2 linked regions of the Mus musculus genome follow. The protein of the gene in region 1 interacts with the protein of each later gene in a pairwise test. Links are inferred from orthologs where the notes say so. Each region holds a gene or a part of one and is shown in the gene's direction. Other genes may lie near its edges. The genes, in order: Csde1 and Hid1.

Region 1 (11,628 bases):
TGAGTTAGCTTTGTTGATTGGGCTGCAGGAACATGAGATGAGCTTTATTATACAATTCTTGCAAAACTTGGAGTAAGGTTAGAGTTGTGTAAGTGCTAAAGATAGCAGGCTCTTGAACAATAGGGATGCTCTAGACCAGGAGTGTGATGCAGTACTATAGAAAATAAAGGGTTTATATGGATCAGCCAAGATAGGAATCAAAGTTGTTGGAATACTGGAAAATGAAATTGGGTTATGGGTTTATATATTTTAGACCAAGGGTTTTAATTGAATATGAAGTAGAAAACCAAGGAATAGATAATGTAAGTTTCAGAAGGTAGCCACTCTATTTCACCTTTGCCAAAGATTTGTACTAAATAATTTTTTTACCTAGTATATTCTTATTTAATGGTTACTATGTAGACCAGACTGGCCTCCAACTCAGAGTGATTCTTGCCTCAGCTTCCTGAATGCTGAGATTAAAGACATGGACAACCTATCCATATAACATACATACACAGAGAGTGAGTTTGTGCACATGTGAACCTTGTTTGTACAGTGCCTTAGGAAGCCAAGAGAGGGCATCATATCCTCTTGAACTGGAGTTTACAGATGGCTGTTGACTACACCCACCATGGGTGCTAGGTATTGATCCCATGTTCTCTACAAGAACAGCAACCACTCTTGACTACTGAGCAGTTTCTTCAACACTTACACTTAGTCCTCAAAAAAGCAGTACCTCATTTGTCTGTCTGAATTTTTGATAGCTACTCTTCTCTAAACATGTTGAGCCCAGCAATAATTTTGTATCTTACATAGTTTACACTGTGCTTGAAATAAACTTGAGTTGAAAGCATGGCAAAGTCTCCTGTCTCTTAGAGGGCAGGAATAAGGAGGACAGTCTAGTCTGGTGAACACCTTTAATCCTAGCACTCAGGCAGTAGAGGCAGATGGATCTCTCTTGAGTTTGAGGCCAGCCTGGTCTACAGAGTTGAGTTCAGGACAAGCCATAGTTGCACAGAGAAACCCTGCCTCAAAAAAATAAAATAATAAGATAAATTAAGAGGATAGGTACTAAGTTTAGTACTTCCCAATAACAGATTTTTTATTGTTATCATCAGTTCCTTAGTTTATAAAGTGTAATACTCACCCTGCTGTGAAACCAGTGTTCTCCACCTTCTTTAGAAGGTATCTACTTTGGTAAAGTCAGGAATTTATGAAGAAGAAAAAAAAAATCCATGTATGAATTTTAAGTCTGAAAGATGGGGAGTTTGAACAAAGTTTTTATCCAGAGAAGATTGGGTATCATAAACCTTACATTTGTTCTTAATAATGAGAGAATTTTTAAGACCTAGGAAACTACTTTGTGATTATAGACTCAATAGTTTCTAACAACCCAGAGGATTTAACCTTCATTTTTCATTTCTTCTCTAGCACTGGTGCTGTAAGTGCTCGTAATATTATGCTGTTGAAAAAGAAGCAGGCTCGCTGTCAAGGAGTAGTTTGTGCCATGAAGGTAATAGTTAATAAACTTGAAATGTTTAGGTTTGCTGTTTGGTTTTTTAACTGCTTTTAAGCTTTGTACTACAAACCCAAACCACTTGCTTCTCCTGCCTCTGCTTTAAGACTATTTCCTTGTTAACTAAGTTCATAGAGCTTCTTGATTGCGAGTCTTTAGGTCAAGTCTTGGTAAGGTAGACTTTACAGAGTTGTACTCTTTGGCCTATAGTATAATTTTAAGATAAAGCTTACTGATTTTTTTTTAAGTTGTAATCATACATTTGTATATTGATTGGTAATTAATGATTTTGTATTTGGGGGCTTTTTGCTTTAGGAGGCGTTTGGCTTTATCGAAAGAGGTGATGTTGTAAAAGAGATATTCTTTCACTATAGTGAATTTAAAGGTGACCTAGAAACCCTACAGCCTGGAGATGACGTGGAATTCACAATCAAGGACAGAAATGTAAGATGGGTCATTCACTAACTCTAAATTATTGCCCTTTTTAAAGATTAGTAGTGGATTATATATTTAAGAAACGCTTAAAATTATGTGACCCCTGCCCACTTCAACCTCTTGATTTAGGGTAAAGAAGTTGCAACAGATGTCAGACTATTGCCTCAAGGAACAGTCATTTTTGAAGATATCAGCATTGAACATTTTGAAGGAACTGTAACCAAAGTTATCCCAAAAGTACCCAGTAAAAACCAGGTAAATTGTCTTTATCAGCAATGTCTTCTTCTGACCAATCAGTACAATATTATGATGATACACTAAAGGTGGAGTCTGTTTGATTGATGTAGTTGTGTGTAGTGGGGTGTATCTTTTAATAGGTATTTTAATTAAAAAAAAAAAAAAAACAAAAAACAAAATAGATGCTGATGGTGTGGTTCAGTGGCAGAGGGCTGACCTAGCATGCAAAAGGCCCCCAGTACTGCAGAAAGAAAAGAGACACTAATGAACGGTAGGTTGATGGGTATGTTTTTGCTTATTTGATTTTCACTGAGTGATTAAGATTAAAAGAAACTGTTACCTGAACTGGGGAAGGTCCTACTGAATTGGACTGCATGTGCTACTTCTCTGTTCCCCCGTCTTACCATTTGTTAACTGGTGGGAAGTAAGGTGAAAGGCATCATTGCTGGATAAATGTGAGATCCAAAGGGCTGAAATGTTTTTCCTTAGCAGTTCTTGATATCACAGTGCAGTGTTAACAACAGTGCTTGATTTATGGTTGTCATGGGACCTTAGATGATGAAGCTTTTATATTGGGCTTATATTGTCAGCACTTTTTTCCCCTTCAGGCTACTACTATATTATAAATAAGCTATTTACTGTGTGTTCTTCTTGTTTGACTTAGAGCTAAAAGGATGAGAAATCTCCAGCTAAAATCGTTTTTCCTTCTCATCAGAATGACCCATTGCCAGGACGAATCAAAGTTGACTTTGTGATTCCTAAAGAACTTCCCTTTGGAGACAAAGACACAAAATCCAAAGTGACCCTGCTGGAAGGTGACCATGTTAGGTTTAATATTTCAACAGACCGACGTGACAAATTGGAACGAGCAACCAACATAGAGGTTCTATCAAATACATTTCAGTTCACTAATGAAGCCAGAGAGATGGTAAGTGTTTAAGCATTGCTGGAATTTTATCTGACATTTAGGGTTCAGTGATGGACTCTGATTTACACTGTTGGCTGGGAACTTCTTAGGCTGATGACTAGTGAATAAAGGTGTCTGTTCCCAAGCCTGGTAGCCTGTGTCCTAGTCTGCACTGATGGAGAGGCCAAGAAGAACACACAGAGGCAAGTTGTTAGAGGATATTTCTTGTAAGCTAATGCCTGTTGGGAAGTCACTTTATTAAGTAGCTAAGAATCCTACATATTTGAATTAGTTTGGGCTTAGTTCTCTTAGCTATCTTGGAAAGACATATAAATTAATTTTAAATTAGAAAACCAGATAAGGGGATTGCTAATGAAATGTGAATAAGACATCAGGAAATATATTTTCTTAAGATTTCCTCTGTGATGTTTAGTAAACAGTAAGTTAAACAGCACTAAATTGATTTCACCGCTTTTATGGTAATAGTTTGCTTTTTTTAAAGTGAGTATATGTCTGAATAGTATGTACCTGATTTGCTACTCAGGTATGTCTTATAAACATTTTGTAGACTGACTTTTCTCAGGTATAGTTTGTATTTAGTGTTGTTTGGAATCATACTATCTGTAGCATGTCTCAGTGTTGGCAATAAAAACAGGTACCTTTTATTTTTTTGGTTTTTTTGAGACAGGGTTTCCCTGTATAGCCCTGGCTGACCTGGGACTCACTCTGTAGACCAGGCTGGCCTCGAACTCAGAAATCCACCTGCCTCTAACAGGTATATTTTTATAAGTTGTTTTTTGAGACACGGTTCCCCTGGAACTCTTAGGCCAGGTTGGCCTTAAACTCAAAAAATTTGCTTCTGCCTCTTGAATGCTGGTATTAAAGGTGTGCGCTACCATATTCCTGGTCCTCCTCCTCTTGTTATTCATTTGTTTTATGTGTATGAAAATTTTACTTTCATGTGTGTACCTGGTACCCACAGCGGCCAAAATTGGACATCAGATTCCCTGGAACTAGAGTTCATCATAGTTAGATGTGAATGCCTGGGATCACTCCTGAGTCCTCTGCAGAAACAAAACAACACAACAAAAAGACCCTCTTCCCAAGCAGAGTCTCTTTTCTCTCTTTATGGTATAAAGTATATATTTTGGTTACCATCAGAAGTTTGACAATGATTAAATTTAAAAATACTCAGGTCATATTCAAAGCTAGTAGTATCCATCTCTGCAGTAAATATGCAATGTGAATCTCATTGGATAAAAATCCATGAGTGCTTCTGAGTACTGGGAATACAGTGATCTCACAAACCTACATTTTCATAGGATAAAAGAAAACAAGGAAGAAGAAGAGACAGTAGAGTGCACTTTGCTTTTTTTATGTGACTAAAGTCACAAAAGCAGTAAAATATTGCTTTTATGATTTATTTATGAAGTATATCAGTAAATTTTTGAAATTCTTTTTTTTTTTTTTTTTTTTAAGATTTATTTATTTTTATTGTATATAAGTACACTGAGCTGTCTTCAGACACTCCAGAAGAGGGAGTCAGATCTCATTACAGATGATTGTGAGTCACCATGTGGTTGCTGGGATTTGAACTTCAGACCTTTGGAAGAGTAGTCGGGTGCTCTTACCCACTGAGCCATCTCACCAGCCCAATTTTTGAAATTCTTACGTTGTCATTTAGTTTATGTATTTGTGGTTCAATTCATAAGGCTTTATTTTTATAATATATATTTTCCAAGGAGTGGGACCTGGAAATTCTTTTTTTCGAGACATGGTTTCTCTGTGTAGCCTTGGCTGTCCTGGAACTTAGAAATTCGCCTGCCTCTGCCTCCCGCGTGCTGGGACTAAAGGTGTGCGCCACCACCGCCCGGCTTTGATGTTGTTCTTTTTTTTAAAAAACAAAAACAAAACAGAAAAACCTATATAACCAGTTAAAAATGTTAATTTGTGTTTTTATTCAGGGTGTGATTGCTGCCATGAGAGATGGTTTTGGTTTCATCAAGTGTGTGGATCGTGATGCTCGTATGTTCTTCCACTTCAGTGAGATTCTAGATGGGAACCAGCTCCACATTGCAGATGAAGTAGAGTTTACTGTGGTTCCTGTGAGTAGCTGTTGGGGAAAGTGTTAAGGGTTGGTATTCTGCTGTCTCCTTTGTAATTTTAATTTTGTTGATTTTGTTTAATTTGTAGGATATGCTCTCTGCCCAAAGAAATCATGCTATTAGGATTAAAAAACTTCCCAAGGGCACGGTTTCATTCCATTCCCATTCAGATCATCGTTTTCTGGGCACCGTAGAAAAAGAAGCCACTTTTTCCAATCCTAAAACTACAAGCCCAAATAAAGGCAAAGACAAGGCAAGTGTTAGGTGATCCAGATGGTTTGTATGTCTTTTATCTTTGCCTCCAGATTGCATTGTAGCTCATATAGTGAAGTATCGTCTCCTTTTTAAAAATTCTGTATACAGCAGTGTATTAGTCAGGGTTCTCTAGAGTCACAGAACTTATGGGTAATCTCTATATAGTAAAGGAATTTATTGATGCCTCACAGTCTACAATGCAACTCCCAACAATGGTCAGTAGCAGCTGTGAATGCTCAGTCCCACACGGCAAGCACTCGAAGGAGGGGGGGGTGGAGAGACTCGCGCACACTCTTGAGACCACTCGCCTTCCTTCTTCCAATGTCCTTATAATAGTCTCCAGCAGAAGGTGTAGCCCAGATTAAAGGTGTGTGCTACCACACCTTTAATCGAAGATGACCTTGAACTCGGAGATCTCCCTGTCTTAATCTGGGGTCCATAGCCACTAGGCCTCAAGATCCAGGTCAGAAACTTGTATCTCCCAGCCTCCAGATTAGGGTCACTGGTGAGCCTTCCAATTCTGGATTGTAGTTCATTCCAGATATAGTCAAGTTGACAACCAGGAATAGCCACTACAACCAGCCATGATGATAGTGGACTGTGATTCTAGCACTTGTAAGGTGCACAAAGGAAGATCAGGAGTTCAGTCATTCTCAACAAGTTAGAGTATTCGGACAAGCTTTGTTTTTATTTTAAAATATTTGTATGTAATAATAACATTTCTTAGCTTCATCATCTTTGACTTTTTGCAAGGGGGATGGATGTTTTAGCCAGTATCCTTGCTTCTTCCTCATTTGAGAACCACTTATCAAAAGCTCTTATCCATAAAGAGGTTAAAGCTTTCCAAATTTGATGCATTGCATTCACATATTTGTACTTCCGTTTACTAAAAAAGTCTGTTGCCTATGCAAAAGTCTTAAGTTGTGCGCTCATAAATAATACATTATGGGACTTGTACAGAATGATTATTATAAGATAGCAAGTTTTCTGTAGTACCAAAGGCATTGGGGTTGTTACTAAGCTATATTTGCCATAAAGGCCTAGATTAAAGGCCATGTAACCTTCCTCCTCCCAAACACATAAAACAAGTTTGAGAAGATGCTCTGGCAAAGTAAATAACTGGGAAGGTCTTGGAATGGTACTCTTAAGGTGTTGGCATTTAATATGTAGCAATAGAAAGGGCATTTCTGACAGAATAGAGGTCAACACGAGGGAAAGAAGGCAGGGAAGATTACTTTAGAAAACAGCAAGTAACCGGTTTGAAGAAGGTGGACTTTGGTTTTGATTGAGGGAGAAGAGCATCGATGATTGCTCTCTAAATTCAATAATGAACTTTTTGTGCAATACTTCAACATTTTCAGTTGGGTAATGGCATCAGTTATGGACTTAAGGAACAAAATTTTATCATTGTAACTCTAAACAGAGTAGACAATTTTAAGGTGCATGAGAGACTTACTGTAAAACAAATCTTTTAAAATTACCATAAAACAAAACAAAACAAAAAAGAAGTCTCAAAAAAAAATTACTACCAAGGGGCACTTGTGGTTTTGTACAAACTTCTAAGTAACTAGGGAGATGGTTTCACTAATACAAATTGCCTATCTGGTAAATTACTTAAGTTTAGTAAATTAGTGTATAAGTAATTATAAAGAATTTTAATTAAGACAAGTAACCTAGTTTTGATTATGTAATCGCAGTGAGGTGTAAGGGAAGAAGACAGATTGATGATGTGGACATTATCCCCATAGAAATGATGTTGAACCATAAAAATGTAGTGTATGTGGTTACTGGTACAGTGACATCACTTACTATCAGGTTGTATGTGAAATGTGTGTACAAAGTTTTCATCATTATTGTAGAAATACTGGTGTATTGTAATGTTTCTAGTGCTTTGATTTGTGCTAGTATTTCTTTCTCTTTTTAATTGGGGATTGAACCCAGAGCTTTGGACTTGGTAGACAAGGGCTCTGTCAGTGGGCTACAGCCCCAGCCCGATTTGTGCTAGTTTTTAAACCAAGTTAATTTCTCACACATTGATAATAGTGACTAAAAACACTGAAGTGCTCTGGGACAGTAAAGAGGATATTTTCAGCTGCTACTTTAAGAATATTAAAGAGTTTTCTTCATGAGAAAACTAAGCTTCATGCTCCACAAAATTTTCTCTTGGCTAGAAATGTCATTCTCAGCTTAATTTTCTGATAAAACTGAAAGGCTCAGTGATAGTAGATTGAGGCAACTCTGAGTGAAGGCAAGCATACCTTTTATTCATGCATTTTGTCTTGTGTTGTTTAGAGGGTCCTGGAATAAATTTCTGTGGCTCTGCCAATTCTTTGTGTTAAGGATTCCTAAGTTACTGTAATTATATATCTTCCTTCCCTTTTTCTGTTATCATTTGTTAGTGTTCTTGAGGATATTTAATTGTGTTTTATATTTTCTTTAGGAGGCAGAAGATGGCATTATAGCTTATGACGACTGTGGGGTGAAACTGACGATTGCTTTTCAAGCCAAGGATGTGGAAGGATCTACTTCTCCTCAAATAGGAGATAAGGCAAGATGGTTTTACTTACTTGAAGAAAGGTTAAAGGTTGTCTTGATTATATTTGCTAGAGGATGGTTTAAATTTTGCTAAGTTTGGCTGCAGCATTTTTTCACTGGAAAGATGAAATACATAATAAAACAGGGTCTTGTAGCTTATGAAACATACTGAATGATAGGTTTTTAGGTTTGAGTTCTTTTTAGAGATGAGTGTGTGGCATACTTGTAATTCTAGCAGTTAGTAGGTAAGTGCCACAACCACTAGATACAGTCAGACAAGTAAGCTAAAAGTACTCACTAAAATAAAACCAGTATAAAATTACACCAAAAATTTACATTGCCTACTTTTTAGACAGCCTCTCTATAGAAATTAAAACTACAAAGTGTACATTGACAGGCAAAACTTAAATCATTTATGAATTGAGACAGCAAGTGCTTTCTGTAAATTTTTCTGTCAGAGTAATTACAAAATAGATCTGGAGTGAAAAGCTTGGTCTGGGGGATGTTTTGGGTCAGCTTCTTAAAGGTACAGAGCTTGTGGAAATGACAATGATACTAACTATCATCCTCATCGTTTTGTAGGTTGAATTTAGTATTAGTGACAAACAGAGGCCTGGACAGCAGATTGCAACTTGCGTGAGACTTTTAGGTCGTAATTCTAACTCCAAACGTCTCTTGGGTTATGTGGCAACTCTGAAAGATAATTTTGGATTTATAGAAACAGCTAATCATGATAAGGAAATATTTTTCCACTATAGGTAAGGAATGCCTTTTGGGCAGCAAACTATTCCTATTATATTCTTTTATATTAACGTTTCAAAGAATTTAATATAGGTTGATACTTTTTGGTAATTACAATTTTTGAGACCCAGCTTTTCTATTTGTAATTATGGCAAGTTACATACAGGAGTTAGGCATCTGCCATAAACATAGAAATGCATTTACCTGCCTTTACATATTTTTATTATACATATTGGTACTGGTGTGATAATACAGTTATAGCATATAGTAAAAAATACGGGTTCATTGAACCAAAACTAAGTATTTTAATTTTGATCTAGGTTCTCCCACTTAATATGTTACTTTCATCAGATTGTAACTTTTTGATTTCTTTACCTTCAAGCTAGAAATAGTGGTAGCTCAGTTTATAGGTTCTTGATTGGGGGGGGGTTGTTTTAAGGATTTAATGAATCCGTACCTTAAAACAGTATCTTAATATATGCAGACCTCCCATGGATGTTGGAAGGAGAAAAGGCTCCATGCTACTATTGATATTAGTGATAGTGGCTTATTTTAATGTCACTTTATTATCTTTTCCCTTTAGTGAGTTCTCTGGTGATGTTGATAGCCTGGAACTGGGAGACATGGTTGAATACAGCTTGTCCAAAGGCAAAGGCAATAAAGTCAGTGCTGAGAAAGTAAACAAAGCCCACTCAGGTAATGAGTCATGACTCCTATTCATCCTATGCTTTGACGGCAGGATACAGGGTCGGGAGAAGGATAAGGCCATACATGTTCTGTAACATTTGCTCTCAGGTACCCAGAGCAGCAGTATATATACCTTCACTGTTTGTCAATTATTCATGTTCTTGACACTACCAAATTCTGGGCATGACAGTTTGTGCATGATTTTAGTAACATTTCAGAGATAACATTTTGAATTTGGAGGATGTGGCAGTTTATTAAGAGTCACTATATAAAACCTTAGCTTTCTTGGAACTGGCTGTGTTGATCAGGCTGACCTCAAACTTGGAAGAAATTACTGGTTCTGCCTTCCAAGTGTGTGTGTGTGCCGTCGTGCCTGGCTGGCATCTGATCTGGGGTGCAGTGGAGTTAGGGATTATGCATCTCCAGTAATTAAAGCCCGTCCTGCTTTCTTTTAATCCGAGAAATATACATTCTACATAGAAATAATTCTTAATGGAGTTACAGAAATAGGCATTCTCCTGGTAGAGCTATAGATCTACAATGTGAAAAGTGAAGACAACTTTAACTTCAGAGCTTCTGCTTTTCGGGGAATGGGCCTCTGTGTTTTGGGGGTGGAGCTCAGGGTCCAGCAAGTGCAGCTTTGGCATCTCCTATTTTTAAACAGCCTGCAACTCAGCTTTAGTTCTCTTCATCTAAATTGAGACCTAGAGATAGGTCAGCTAAGACCTTCCATTTTTATTCTACAAATACCTAACTGGTTTTGATGCACTAGAGATACAGTTGTGAAGAAACCAGACAAGTCCTGGTCTTTTATGCTTATTTTTTTTTTTTGTGGGATTCAAAATACAAATGAAAACAAAAATGTCTATTTGTTGTTGGGTCAGGTATTTTCTGTGTAGCTCTGGCTGTCTGGAAGTCACAGAGGTCACCTACCTCTGCTTCCTGAGTGTTTCGATTGAGGCCATATGCCAACACACCTGTCTCAGAAGATGTGTTTAGATATGAATATTTGTTATGCCAAATAAATTGATTTATTTACCAAACTCCAGCACCTTTAATGGCATTTTAGAAACATTTATGGTCAAGAAATTTATACTTAATTTTACTTATATACAAATATTTATTTTACATTCAAGAAATAGAACTAGCTTTAGAACTGATTCCCTTTCTCACTTTAAGAATATTGAGCAGCCAACTAGTTGAGCATTGTGCACACCTGTACTCTCAACACTAAGAAATCTGGGGAGGATCTTGAGTTTCAAACCACCCTGAGCTGTAAAGTAAGGTGTGTGTGTGTGTGTGTGTGTAAGGAGAAGAGGAAAAAGGAAAAAATAGGATGAAGAGATTATTAGCTGGTTAGAGGCTGCATAATTATGAATGAATGTTCTTCCAAAGGACCTAAACTCCTAGCCCCTACCTCAGGCAGCTCACAGTCCTCAGTTAACCAGCTCCAGGAGATCTGATATATCCTCTTACAGTATCTTAGATACTGCAGTCATTGCAGAGTCATTGCATAACAAACATATAATTAGAAATAAAAATTGAAATTCTTGGAAAGTCTGAACAAAAAGCATTCACCTTGTGCGAACATTGGGTTTGTATTTTTTACTTTGTCTTATTAGAGTTTGAAATTGCTGAGTGGTAATTATGTGTGCTTTTGTTTTGTAGTGAATGGCATTACTGAGGAAGCTAATCCCACCATCTACTCTGGTAAAGTCATTCGCCCTCTGAGAGGTGTTGATCCAACACAGATTGAGTACCAAGGAATGATTGAGATTGTGGAGGAGGGTAAGCACAGCCCTGACCCTGGAGTCTGCTCTGCCCTCGCACGGTTTTAATGTGTGATGGGCTCGTTTCAGTGCTTCAGGTGTCTTAGGAGCAGAGGGACCCTGCTCCTCCTGTGCTTAGGCTTTAGTTCTATAGACTCCTTGAAAATGAGGTCACCCGGGATGAAACTGAGCAGCAAATGATTACTATGCTGACGATGTTTAATGTTGAGTGATGATAATCATACTTTTTGTTAAATCCAAGTGGTCATTTATGTTAGTCACTATTCAGTTTTATGAATACTTCCTTTCCTGAAGTATGCTTGCTGTTCCTTAGTACCTTGGGGTCCTCCAGATCTTGGCTCTCTCCATTTATTTACTTGAATAATATTCTCCCCATCTTCAAACAACCAATAGTTTTGGTGCTTATCTTTTTTCCAATAGTTGCCACCCAGAAACTTT
Region 2 (12,134 bases), on another chromosome or scaffold:
GAGACTCTGTGTGTGTGTGTGTGTGTGTGTGTGTGTGTGTGTCTGTGTAGCCCTGGTTGGACTGGAATGTGCTATGTAGACCAGGCTGGCCCTGTATTATTCACAGAGATCCACCCACCTCTGCCTCCTGACTGCTGGGATTAAAGGTGTGTGCCACCACACTGACAGCAATGTGGTACTTTTAAATGTGGTGCCAAAGGTTGGGCATGGTGGAACATGCCTGGAATCTTAGCACTTGGGAGATGGAGGCAGGATTAGGTGTTAAAGATCATCCCAAACTTAGATATTTTTTTTTTCCCTCTTGGAGAACAGATGACAGGCCTGACTTCTGAGTATATTCGCCTGTGTGTGAGTGTACACTGTGTATGTAGGCCAGAAAGGGGTATTGGATCCCCTGGAGCTGAAGTTACAGGTTGTGTGTGTGCGCTGCTGGACATGGGTGGTTAGAACTGAACTCAGGTCCTCTGGAAGAGCAGCAAGCACTCTAAGCCATGGAGGCATCTCTTCAGCCCCCGGGAGTCAGAATTTTGTCTTCCGACCCAGCTGAGCCCAGTCTCAGGGCTTCTCTCGGGCTTAGCATGTGTGAATGAAGAAGTTCCCAGCTGGTTCCGTCCGTCCCTCAGCTGTTCAAAGATAACACTTCCCCAGCCTTTCCAGTCTCCCCAGCTGAGGCCCAGACAGTGTGGAGTAGAAACCAGCCATCTCAGCTGCATCCCCATTAATCACGGACCCAGGAATGTCAGAGACAGTGAAATGGTCATTGTTTTATGCCATTTGGTGGGGACGTTGTTCTGTGAAATGCTTCCGAAAATCTCCATCTGGTGGACATCCAACTTCCAGGATTCCAAAAGTTTTCCCTCCTTGATGCTGCCTTGGTTCAGCCCTTCCCCCCGCTCACCATCTCCCTGCCTGCTCCCAGTATTCAGGTTTCTGTCCCTCCTGCATCAGCCAGGACAATTTGTTAAGACCTAATGTCATCTGATGACGTCATTTCTCCACTTCAAAGGCCTTTTTAGTGGTTGTGCCATACAATTAGAGTTTATTAGTTTGTATGTAGTCCTCTAGGGTCGGCTCCTGGGCTATCTCAAGTGTTATCTCCCATCGAAGTCTCCCTCCAACCAGGTCTCTGGACATGAGTCTCTCTAAGCTCCAGGCCTTTCTGCGGCTTGCTCTCCCTAATGGCTGGAAGCTGAAAATTTTCCACTTGTCTGTGTAGATTTCCTTCTGTTTCATTCATATTCCATGGCCGAGCTTTCCCGAAACTCTGTCACCGGCTTTTCTCAATCTTCTGCTTTCAGTGGGTTCACCTGATTAGCAGGAAGCAAGGCAGGAGTAAAGTGGGGTGTTCATTCCAACTTTCCTTTTCTTTGTGGAGACTACAGCCCAGGCTGGGGGTTCTTCTCTGGTGGGCTCCCTCTCCCTGGGCACTGGCAGCTATTCCTTCCTTTGCCCCTTAATGGTCTCAGTAACCTGTTCCGACCCCATAGCGCTTCCCTGTGAGAAACCTCTCTCGAGTAATCCCTCCTCCATCTGTTTCCAGCCTGTCTAACATTCTCAGTCACCTTCCAAGCTTCAGCCTAGACTCTCCTCCTCAGCCACTTTCTTTCTTATCTAGCTCTACCAGGGCCCTGAGTAGAGATTGACTTTCAACGTCATAGCTCTCAATGTCTTGATTTATTGGCAGTAGAGACATGTACAGCTTAGGCCCTTGCCTCCTTCAATGGTACCCGGCACTTAATAGGATCTGAGTCAATGTCTGCCGGATGAATGATGGTTGAATTTAGAGAAAGGACTCCGGAGAGGGCCACAGGAGCCACTGACCAGTGAGTCTTTTATTCTGGCCACAAAACAAGGACATGACATGCTTTCCCATAGCCAAGAACCTTCCAGAAGATTGTCACATTGATAAGAAAAGAGTAATTTCTCTACGTGTTCAGAGGTCCAATTTTATTTACTGATGGTGCCTTTATGCAGACAGATTGTTTTCTGAAAGTGTTTACTATGAAAATGTTTACATGTATACAGTCGTAGAGAGACTGGTTTCCTGAGTTAGTTTCTTTGCCGCTTACAGCTTTTATTTTTCTTTATTTTTGTAGGGCTGGGGACGGAACCCGGCATCTCCTGCATGCTAAGCAGGCAATCTGTCAGCTAAGCAGCTCCCCATGTTCCTTGGCCTTCATTTTAAAAGTCCAGTTTATTGAGGTGCAGTTTATATACAGTAAAGCTCACTCCCTTGAGGCCTATTGTTATGAGAAAAATCAAACAGAAAGTTTTCATTGCCCCACTAAGTTCCCTCCTTATCTTTCTCAGTCCACCCTTCCCACCTCTGGCTCCCAGCAACTGCTGGCTTGCTTTCTGCTCCCACGGCTCCACCGTTCCCCGAATGTCTATAAATGATAATATAGTATATTATAGCCAGGAGGGGGGCAGTGTATAACTGTAATTGCAACACTGAGGAGGTGGAAACAGGAAGATCAGAAATTCAAGGCCAATCTCAGGTACATAAAGAGTTCCAGGTCAGCCTGGGCCACAGGAGATCCTGTCTGCAAATAAGCAAAGAAACAAGAAAACTTTATATTCAGCTAATACCTGATCCACCAACCAACTAAGCCAGAGGCAGATTAATTTCTGTTATCTTAGGCAAGCTGAAGATTGGAATTTGATAGTCTCACTGGGACTCTCTTGAAAGCCCACAGGTCAGTGGTGTTGGTGCCAAGTGCTGGTCCACAGATTCTCAGGTATTATTTGTTTGAGATGGGGTCTTGCTGTGTAGCTCTGACTGGCCTGGAACCAGCTATGTAGAACAGGCTGGTTTTGAACTCAAAGAGACCTGCCTGCCTCTCCCTCTTGTGTGCTAGAATTAAAGGCCTGTGTTAGCATACTTGGCTTGGTGCTATGCTTTTTTTTTTTTTTTTAAACTGAATAAAGAAACCATTCATTATCTCAGAGTGATTACAAAAAAAAAAGCCCTGGGGGCACACCCAGAATTTTGTAGGGACAACATACCTTTAGAGAAAAGCTAGAGCTACCCAATGCTGTGGCTTGTTCTGTGAGGTAGTGAGACCATGCCCTCTCTCTCTACCTCTACACCTGATCCAGCTGCCTTGATGGAGCATACTCCTTATTTTACAACTCCGGGATCCCCCTTTAGATTAAAGTCATGTTGTTTAGAACTATCCAGGATTCTCAGAAACTTCTAGACACAGTAACATGATTGTGTGAGGGGTGGGACACATACATCATACATGGCCCTGGCTGTCCTGCTGTCCTGGCTTGCTATGAGATATATATATATTAGATAAATACCAGATTATTTTGGATTTTGCCAATGCTGGTCTCAAACTCACTATTCACCAAGGATGACAGTCCCTCTTGCCTTCACCTCCTGAGTTCTGAGATCTCATATGTGGATCAACTATTTTTATTGGGTTGTCAGCTATTACTCTTAATTTAATAATTAGAGTGCTTGCCTAACATCCAAGAACCTCTTGGTTCAATCTACAGCACCCCATAATACCAAGGGTGATCATGGAACCTGTGACCTTGGTACTTGGGAGATGGATTAAAAAATTCATCACCAGTAACAGTGAGTTCGAGGCAAGCCTACGATAAACTCCTCACAAAACAAACACAGTGTACTAGGCTATACCATGGGTAAACTCCTTTCTTCTGAAACCAGGATCTGTGATGTTTATGTCATGTCCTCTACACTTCAAAGAGTTCTCAGGGAAGCCAGGGAGCTAGATAAGCGTCAAGACCCAAGGGATTTTTCACTGCTGAGCTGCCTTCCTGGAACAGGGACACTGAGTCAGCCCATCCTTCCACACAAGCAAGAGCTAAACCTTTTAAGGGTTAGAATAACTTCAAGGCTAGACACGTGGATTTGATAGGTCAGAAAGAGAAGCAAACAGAAAGAAAGGAAGGGAGGAAGAAAGAAAGGAGAGGAGAGGAGGGGAGGGGAGGGGAGGAGAGGAGAGGAGAGGAGAGGAGAAAAAGAAAAGAAAAGAAAGGAAAGGAAAGGAAAAGAAAAGAAAAGGAAAGGAAAGGAAAGGAAAGGAAAGGAAAGAAAAGAAAAGAAAAGAAAAGAAAAGAAAAGAAAAGAAAAGAAAAGAAAAGAAAAGAAAAGAAAAGAAAAGAAAAGAAAAGAGAAAAAGCAAGCAAGCTCAGATAGCAACAATAGTAGGAAAGCATGAACATCAGGTAGAGAGGATTGGAGGAGAAACTGCGGGTCTGAGCAGGAATGAAGAATGAAGGTGGAGGCAGGAGATGAGATACCAGGAGGGTTTCAGTCTTGCGGACTGAGGATCGAGGACAACACTCAGTTGCAGACGAAAGGACCAGGAGTTGGGTTCCACGGAGAACTCCGGACTTCTTCTTGGAGGCCTGAGCGGCAGGTGCAGAGGCGGGGCCTCGTGGGGGCGGATCTAAAGGCGGAGCCACAGGGGCGGGGCCGACGCCTGCGGCAGGCGGGGTTCGCAGCTTCGCTCCCCAGAGAGCAGCCGGGGCTGCGGAGCTGGAGCTGGAGTCACAGCCGGAGCCCGCGGCAGAGTCGGAATCCGGGGTCGGGCTGGAGCGGGGTCCATCGACATGGGATCCGCAGACTCCAAGCTGAACTTCCGGAAGGCGGTGATCCAGCTGACCACCAAGACGCAGGTGCGCCTGGGGGCCCAGCCTCTTCATCCACCTGCCGGCCCTGGGGGCAGGGCAGGGCCGGGGGGGCTGGGTGAACACGGTTCACCCGAGGGTGGGGTGACCGGCTAATCCAGAGGGGGATGCTGAAACAAGCACCGGAACGGGACTTTTCCTTTGTAACTAGGGCTCCATCCCTGCCTCTGGGAGCCCACCCTATGCCTACTCTCCCCTGGGAACACTCTCCCGGGCACTGCTGCTGCTGCCACCTTAGGCTGACGTGTGCCTACTCCTGGAGCCGGCGGCGACAACGTTATCCGCCCCCTGTCCCGCCCCCCCGGTGCCCGCAGCCTCGCTTAGCCAGCCTCTTCCCGCTCCCACCTACCCATCCATCGCCCCGCTGGTCTCCCTGCCCCTCAGTGCCCATGGTCCCGGACATACAGCCCCGGCTGACTCAATGCAAACAAAGCCGGGCCGGCGCCTGCCTGGGTTGGGGAAAACAGCTGGTGCGCGATGGCAGCGGTGGCAGCGGTGGCCTCTCTGGGCCCTGGCTGATGCCTGAGGGTAGGGAAGGCCCAGGTCTTCCTGGGAGCTCATAGAGTGGCAGGCAGCGGCAGCTGGGTAAGAGGAGCTGTCCTCAGGCCTAGGGAAGCCAGCTTTCCAGCTAGTGATGATCCAGGGGCTTCTCCAGGCCCGGTGGAGCTGATTGGCTGTGCTTTTTGGCACCCGGAATAGGGATTGGGGTTTCGGGGATGAGGAGATTATCATTGGTCTGTTGGAGAGGGAGCCATGGGTAACTCCAGTCCACACTCCCCCCCCCCATCCCCCGTGTCTACAAGTGTCACAGAAGCTGCCTCCTACCTTCAGCACACACCTCTTGACCCAGCAAGGTTCCTTCCCTGTCGTCCCTTCAATCTTTATTTCTGGAAACCAGGCTACTCTGGTTATGGAGATACCAGCAGCCTCTCCAAGGCCCTGCCTGTCAAAGGGCTCTGGACCTACTGCCATCTGGAACCCCACCCCCATCCGACTGTTCTCAGAGCTCTATATTGTTCTTGGCCAGTGTGAGTGGGATCAGGAGAGCTGCCTACCCACAACCAGCCAGTCACAGCCTCAGAGAGCCGACCACTACTCCCACACCCTGTTACCCACCTTGGGAAGGTCAGAGGCCGAGGAAAGGAATGCCAGGGCCTCTAGAGAGCCTGTTTCTATCTGAGGGGCACTTGGCGGAAACCAGAACTGCTTCTCTTTGCTTCCTGTGGCTTGTTCCAGAACCTCAGACGTGAGACTCTCCATCAGTGGGTAGCAGGAAAGGGTGGTGTGTGGTATTTTGCACAGTGTAGGGTGGTGAGAGCTGGGGGAGCGTCTCCCATGTTTGCCCTGCCTGGGGAGGGGCTGGCTTGCTGGAAGATGGTTTGGTGGGCTGAGCAGGTCCTTTAGCAGCAGGATTAAACCAGCTCTAGAAAGGTGGGCAGTGACCTGCTTAGGAACCCTCCCCCTGAATACTACATCAGTAGGTTTGTACCTGGTTGAGATAGTCTGTTCTCAGATGAAGACAGTTGCTTGGATCAGGGTCTAGAATAGATTGGAGACCCAGTGTGGACTACTCCCCTTCTTCCTCCCCCATCTTCCTCTTCCTCCTCCCCCTTCTCTTATCTCTCTTCTTCCTCTCCCATCTGTCTCCTTCTTTTCAGTTTATATTATTATTATTTTTGGTGTGTGTGTGTGTGTATACATGTGTATCATGTATATACATGAAGGTCAGAGGACAACAATGGGAGTCAGTTCTCTTCTTCCACTATGTGGGCCCTAGGGATGGAACTTAGGTTAGGCTTGGCAGCAAGCACAAATTATGTTTACCAAGCATTTTTACCAAGTGCCTTTACTGCTGAGCCATTCACTAGCCTGTGGGCCTTCTCATAAGCATGGGACTCTCACAAGTGGGTGGGGGCCAAAGCCTTGGACTCTAGTGATCAGCTTTGAGCAGCTGGGATTCAAGAATCTGGTCCGAAAAGGTCTTCCTGGACCTTCGAACTCAGTATCCCCAAGGGGCTGCAGATGTGATGGCCACAGGATGACCTCACTTCTAAGCCCTCCGAGGCTGTGCTTTGAGCAGTAGACAAGTGGACCTTACTGTAGCCTGGGTCTGAGCTCTTGCAGGTCAGCCTTCCCTGCCTTCCTGCCCTGCATCCTGTTTTCTTCCTGCCCTATTAGCCAGCCCTGGGCAGGGCTTAACCCTAACTCTGAGACCAGCCACATTCTTGACTCTTTCCTCACTTGGCTGGGGCCCCAGAGTGGGGCACTACAGGATCAGAGACTCTCCCCCAGATTCTGTTCATTGAGGATGCTCTGCTGCAGGCTAGGGTAAGAGCTGATAGGTGTGTGTTCACACGCATGCATGTGTGTGAGCCTAGAATAATACTTTGATCACCTGTCAGGACATATCGTCCTTATTGGGCTAGCTCAATGCTGGTTTTACCCCTTACCACTCCCACCCTAGAAGGAGACTGTGACAACCCCAGCTTGGGGCTGGAGAGATGGTTCAGTGGTTAAGAGGGCTCCAGCTACTCTTTCAGATGAAGAGTTTGGTTCACAGCACCCACGTTGGGGTGGCTCACAACTACCTGTGAGCTCTGGGGAGATCCAACACCTTCTGGCCTCTAGGGGCAGCCTCATGTATGTGTACACGCAGAGAGAGACACATATGCACATAAATAAAAAATAAAGTAAAAAAAATGTTAAAGCTACAGCTGGTCCCTCAGCCAATGCAAATGCCTAAGACCCAGTGGGATCAGGGGAGGAAGTGCAAGCTGAGGCTAACAATCATGAGGTCCTATGTTCAGTCTCCATAATGAGAGTGACTACAGGCTAGCCCCGGCTACATGAAAAAGGTGGGGGTAGATAGAAAGATAAATGCTTGTTTATGAAGGTTTTTTCCCCCCTCTGCTTCTAGGTTAGACCTCTAAGGCCCTCTTATGTCTCGTTTGGATTTCAGTTCCGAGGTGATGGTTGTCTAATGAACTAGGTCAGTGGTCAGCTCCATTTGTATTCAGCGGGGGCTTCGGCCCCTTTAAGGGATGCTGACTCCCTGAGAGGTGAGCTGAGTATTAGAGGCTTTCAGAGGTGCTCCTGATGAGGAGGATCTCCACAGGCCTTTCCTCTGAAATGTCCTTTCCCACTGCGTTCTGGCTCCAGGCCACCAGGACTGGTGAGGCTGAGGTCCAGCAAACCCCAGCTCCAGGGCCTCTCCTTTAGCCTTTGTTTACCTTTGGCTGACTTGCTCTACCAGTTCTGGGACTGAGGGTGCAGCCACAAGTTATCCTGGGGCTCCCCAGAATGGGGTGGAGGGTGGGCACTTTGGTGAAGCCTGCAGCCCCAGCCTTGGGTTTGGGCAGCCCCCTGGCACTCAGCCTTGTCAGGACCTCAGCTTCATCTGCCTCAGCTTTGAGAGCAGGGCCAATGCTGGGCTGCTGGGCTGTGAGGTGAGTGGATCTAGACCTGAGTCAGGAATGTGGGGTGTAGAAGTTGGGGCTGGAGGTTCCCAAAGGAGAGCATGCCTGTGTGGTGTAATGGTACACCCTGACCAAAGCAACTTGGGGTCAGGGCAGGAACTCCAACAGGGCAGGAACCTGGAGGCAGCAGCTGGTGTAGAGGCCATGGAGGGGGCTGCTTACTGACCTGCTCCCCATGGCTTGCTCAGCCTGCTTTCTTATAGAACTCAGGACCACCAGCTCAGGGATGACTCCATCCACACTAGGCTGGGCCCTCCCCGTCAATTACTAATTAAGAAAATGCCTCACAGCTGGATCTTATGGAGGCACATTGATTGATTGATTGATTGATTGAGACAGGGTTTCTCTGTGTAGCCCTGGCTATCTTGGAAGTGACTATGTAGTGCAGGCTAGCCTCAAACTCGGAGCTCCACCTGCCTCTGCCTCCCAAGAGCCGGGATTAAAGGCGAGCGCCACCACCGCCCAGCTGGAGGCATTTTCTTAATTGAGGTTCCCTCTTCGCAAATGACCCCAGCCTGCATCAAATTGACATCAAACTATCCATCCCAGCGGAGAATTCTAGAAGTAAAATTTATCATGGAAAATGGTTGCCTTGGTTATTTGCCTGTATGATTGTCTATCTCTCAAGGACCATAAGTATGTATTTTAATTTTTCATTTTTATTTATGTGTATTTCTTTGTATGTATGCCACAAGTGGGCATGTGCCTATAGAGGCCAGAAGTGGGCGTCAGACCCCTGGAATTACAGAGAACCAAACCTGAATCTCCTGGAAGAGCAGCATACACTCTTAACCTCTGAGCCATCTCTCTAGCTCCCACATAAACTCTTCACCTCTGAGCCCGCTCTCTAGTTCCCATGACCACATGTATTTTAAAGGCTTGTCTCAATAGGACCTTTGGAACTTTGTTTCTTACGTTAGTTCCTAAGTTTTGAGACAGGCACTTACTATGTAACTCTGCCTGTCCTGGAACTCACTCTGTAGACCAGGCAGGCCTCAAACTCAGAAAGATCCACCTGCCTCTGCCCGCCAAGTGTTGGGATTAAAGGTGTATGCCACTACACTCAGCCTGTTAAAATTAAAAAACAAATAAAAAACCATCTTTGTTAGGATGTGTGTGTGTGTGTGTGTGTGTGCTTGTATGTATAGGAGGGAGGTTTATATTGGCTTGAAGTGGACAACTTGTGGGAGTTGGTTTACTCCTTCCGATGAGCAGATCCTGAGTTTGATACTCAGGTCATCAGGCTTGGTGGCAAGCCCCTCTACTAACTGAGCCATATCTCAAGCCCAATGTAATTATTGCTGAAATGAGAAGAGTATAGTGGGAAATATACAGCCTGGGCAAAACAAAAGAAATTTACTGGGGTCATGTCTAGGAGTAGTAAATACAGGAGTGTGTGTGTGTGTGTGTGTGTGTGTGTGTGTGTGTTGTTGTTGAGATGAGATCTGTTGAATCCCAGGCTGTCCTTGAACTCACTCACTGTGTAGTTGCGGGTGACCTTGTACTTCTGATCTTCCCAAGTGCTGGGATTACAGGCCCTCACCTCCAGTCCTAATGTACCCAGTGCTCGAGATCCCCTCCGGGGCTTTGTGCAAGTGCTCTATCAACTGAACTACAGCCCAGCCTCAAGGCCTGTTTAAGATCTTGGATGAGTGTTGAGCTGATGTCTTGACTTGGTCCAGCAGGCAGTGGGGGTCCCCGGGGGCTTTTAGATGAAGGCTCTGTGGCTTTGGCTATTGCATGGGGTGGAGGCACTGAAGTGGGGGGGGTGATTTGGAGGCTGGGGCTCCCTGAAAGTGACTGGAGCTGCAGCATGGGCCAGCAGCGGGTGCTGAGAGGATCGTGTGGAGGTTGGTGGGTCTGGCACTGGTGGCTGTGCTGAGAAAGGGTTGCTTGTGAGAAGACAGCACCGGTGACTGTGAATGGGGTGCGTATGCCCTTTGGGGGAGAGCCTTGGTCTAGTTCCTAGACACTTGACCTACTGGTGTGGCCGTGGGATGTGATCTGGTGATGATGTCAGCTCCTCTTTTAGAGAAATGTGTGCACTTAGCCAGAGACACACAAACCCTCGGTGACACAGTGAACTTTAGAACCTAGTGGACCCTCGCCCATACACACCTATCTTGTGGCAGCTGAATAAGGTCGTTCCAGATGGGGAGGCTCCTGGGCGCTGGCTGGGATGGAGGATAACCACGGTGGCCTCCCTGCCAGGGCTCATCTGTGACTGTTGGGAAAGGTGTAACTCTGGATACTGGATCCCCCTGTAGCCCGTGGAAGCCACCGACAATGCTTTCTGGGACCAGTTCTGGGCAGACACCGCTACCTCGGTGCAGGATGTCTTTGCGTTGGTGCCGGCAGCAGAGATCCGGGCTGTGCGAGAGGAGTCACCCTCTAACCTGGCCACGCTGTGCTACAAGGTATGAGCTGTCTGGCTCCTCACAGCTGTCCCCATCCTTCCCAGAGAGGCCGAATGGCCTAGTCCACGCAGAACAAAGTACTCACATCTCACCCACAGGTTCTAGAGGTCTAGCCTCTTTGCCTCCAGTTCTCCTTGGTGGGGGTGAGGAAAAAGTAACCATGGCCCCTGCCGCCATTTATCAGAGCTTTAACTTATCTTTCCAGACACCACCTCACTTAGCTTTTCCTGTGAGGTGCTCCAGCCTCCAAACAGAGGTTTCTCTGTTACAAACGAGGTCTTAAAAAAAATTGCCGGGTAGTGGTGGCACACTCCTTTAATCCCAGCACTTGGGAGGCAGAGGCAGGGAGATTTCTGAGTTCAAGGCCAGGTTGGTCTACAGAGTGAGTTACAGGACAACCAGCGCTATTCAGAGAAACCCTGTCTCGAAAAACCAAAAATAAATAAATAAATTTTAAATTAAATTTATTTTATTTTATGTGTGTGAGTGCTTTGCATGCATGTATCTATATGTTCCGTGTACATGCCTGATGACCATGGAGAGCAAAAGAAGGCATTGGACCCCCTTGAACTAGAGTTATGGGTGGTTGTGAGACACCACGTAGGTGCTGGGAGTTGAACTCTAGGTCCTTGGCAAGGATAGCAAGTTGGGTTTTATTGTTGTTTGTTTTATTTTGTTGAGGCCCTGGATGCCTAGAACTTAATATATAGACCAGGTTGGCCTTGATCTCATAGAGATCCACCTGTCTCTGGCTTCTAGTGCTGGGAGTAAAGATATGGGCTACCAAATGTGGTAGACAATGTATTCTTAACAGCAGAGCCACTCTTCCAGCCCTGGTCTTTTTCTCTTGTTTTAACCTTTAAAAAGGGCACTTTAATATAGTATTAAACAGAAGGATTAGGAGAGAAAGAGGCTCTCAGAAGAAAGTAAGTTGTACCCAAGTGTGGGGACACACTCTGTATGAGAGGGGTACCACAGATGAGGTCTTGGCCATCCAGTGGACTGGCCTCTGCTCTCCTGATGCTCTGGGCTGTTTTTTTCCCAGGTCACAACCTTCCTGAGCTAGCTGACCTCTCCAGCTTGGGTGGCCTGAACCCAAAGGGCTCCTTCACATGCTCCTTCCTCCCTTGCTGTCTGTCCCCACAGGCTGTGGAGAAGCTGGTGCAAGGAGCAGAGGGTGGCTGCCACTCTGAGAAGGAGAAACAGGTCGTCCTGAACTGCAGCCGGCTACTCACCCGAGTGCTGCCTTACATCTTCGAGGACCCCGACTGGAGGGGCTTCTTCTGGTCCACAGTGCCCGGGGCAGGGCGTGGAGGGGTCTGTGGGCCTGGCCAAGGGGGGGTTGGAGGATCCTGGCAGGGCCACCTGTTTTTAGGAAGTATAGGGATGGGGACTTAGAGGTAGGGTACCACTGAGGGGGAAGGAGCCAGTACCAACTTTTCAGGCCTTCGGTTTCTCTCCCAAGGGGCCTAGAGCAGGGGTGCAGGGATAGGCCCATTATGTCTTTAGAAGGACCACACTATCTTCTCCCAGGCCCCATCTACTCAGGGCTTTATCTTCAGTCAAGTGCCAAGGG

The links.
Region 2: the proteins of Csde1 (region 1) and Hid1 interact in binary tests that used the Homo sapiens proteins (3 or more experiments, as listed by UniProt). The two-hybrid records come from large-scale screens. The link is inferred for Mus musculus from reciprocal best matches to the Homo sapiens genes CSDE1 and HID1.

Annotation. Positions count from the first base shown.
Region 1 is NC_000069.6:103,041,744-103,053,371, forward strand, and holds part of Csde1 (cold shock domain-containing protein E1), read left to right. Parts: intron 1-1,413; coding exon 1,414-1,495; intron 1,496-1,813; coding exon 1,814-1,942; intron 1,943-2,062; coding exon 2,063-2,188; intron 2,189-2,885; coding exon 2,886-3,098; intron 3,099-5,041; coding exon 5,042-5,182; intron 5,183-5,270; coding exon 5,271-5,435; intron 5,436-7,877; coding exon 7,878-7,985; intron 7,986-8,554; coding exon 8,555-8,730; intron 8,731-9,296; coding exon 9,297-9,409; intron 9,410-11,068; coding exon 11,069-11,188; intron 11,189-11,628. UniProt on the Homo sapiens protein: RNA-binding protein involved in translationally coupled mRNA turnover.
Region 2 is NC_000077.6:115,360,063-115,372,196, reverse strand, and holds the start of Hid1 (protein HID1), read left to right. Parts: upstream 1-4,440; 5' UTR 4,441-4,587; coding exon 4,588-4,653; intron 4,654-10,352; exon of another isoform or gene 10,353-10,408; coding exon 10,409-10,558; intron 10,559-11,704; coding exon 11,705-11,875; exon of another isoform or gene 11,876-12,134. UniProt on the Homo sapiens protein: May play an important role in the development of cancers in a broad range of tissues.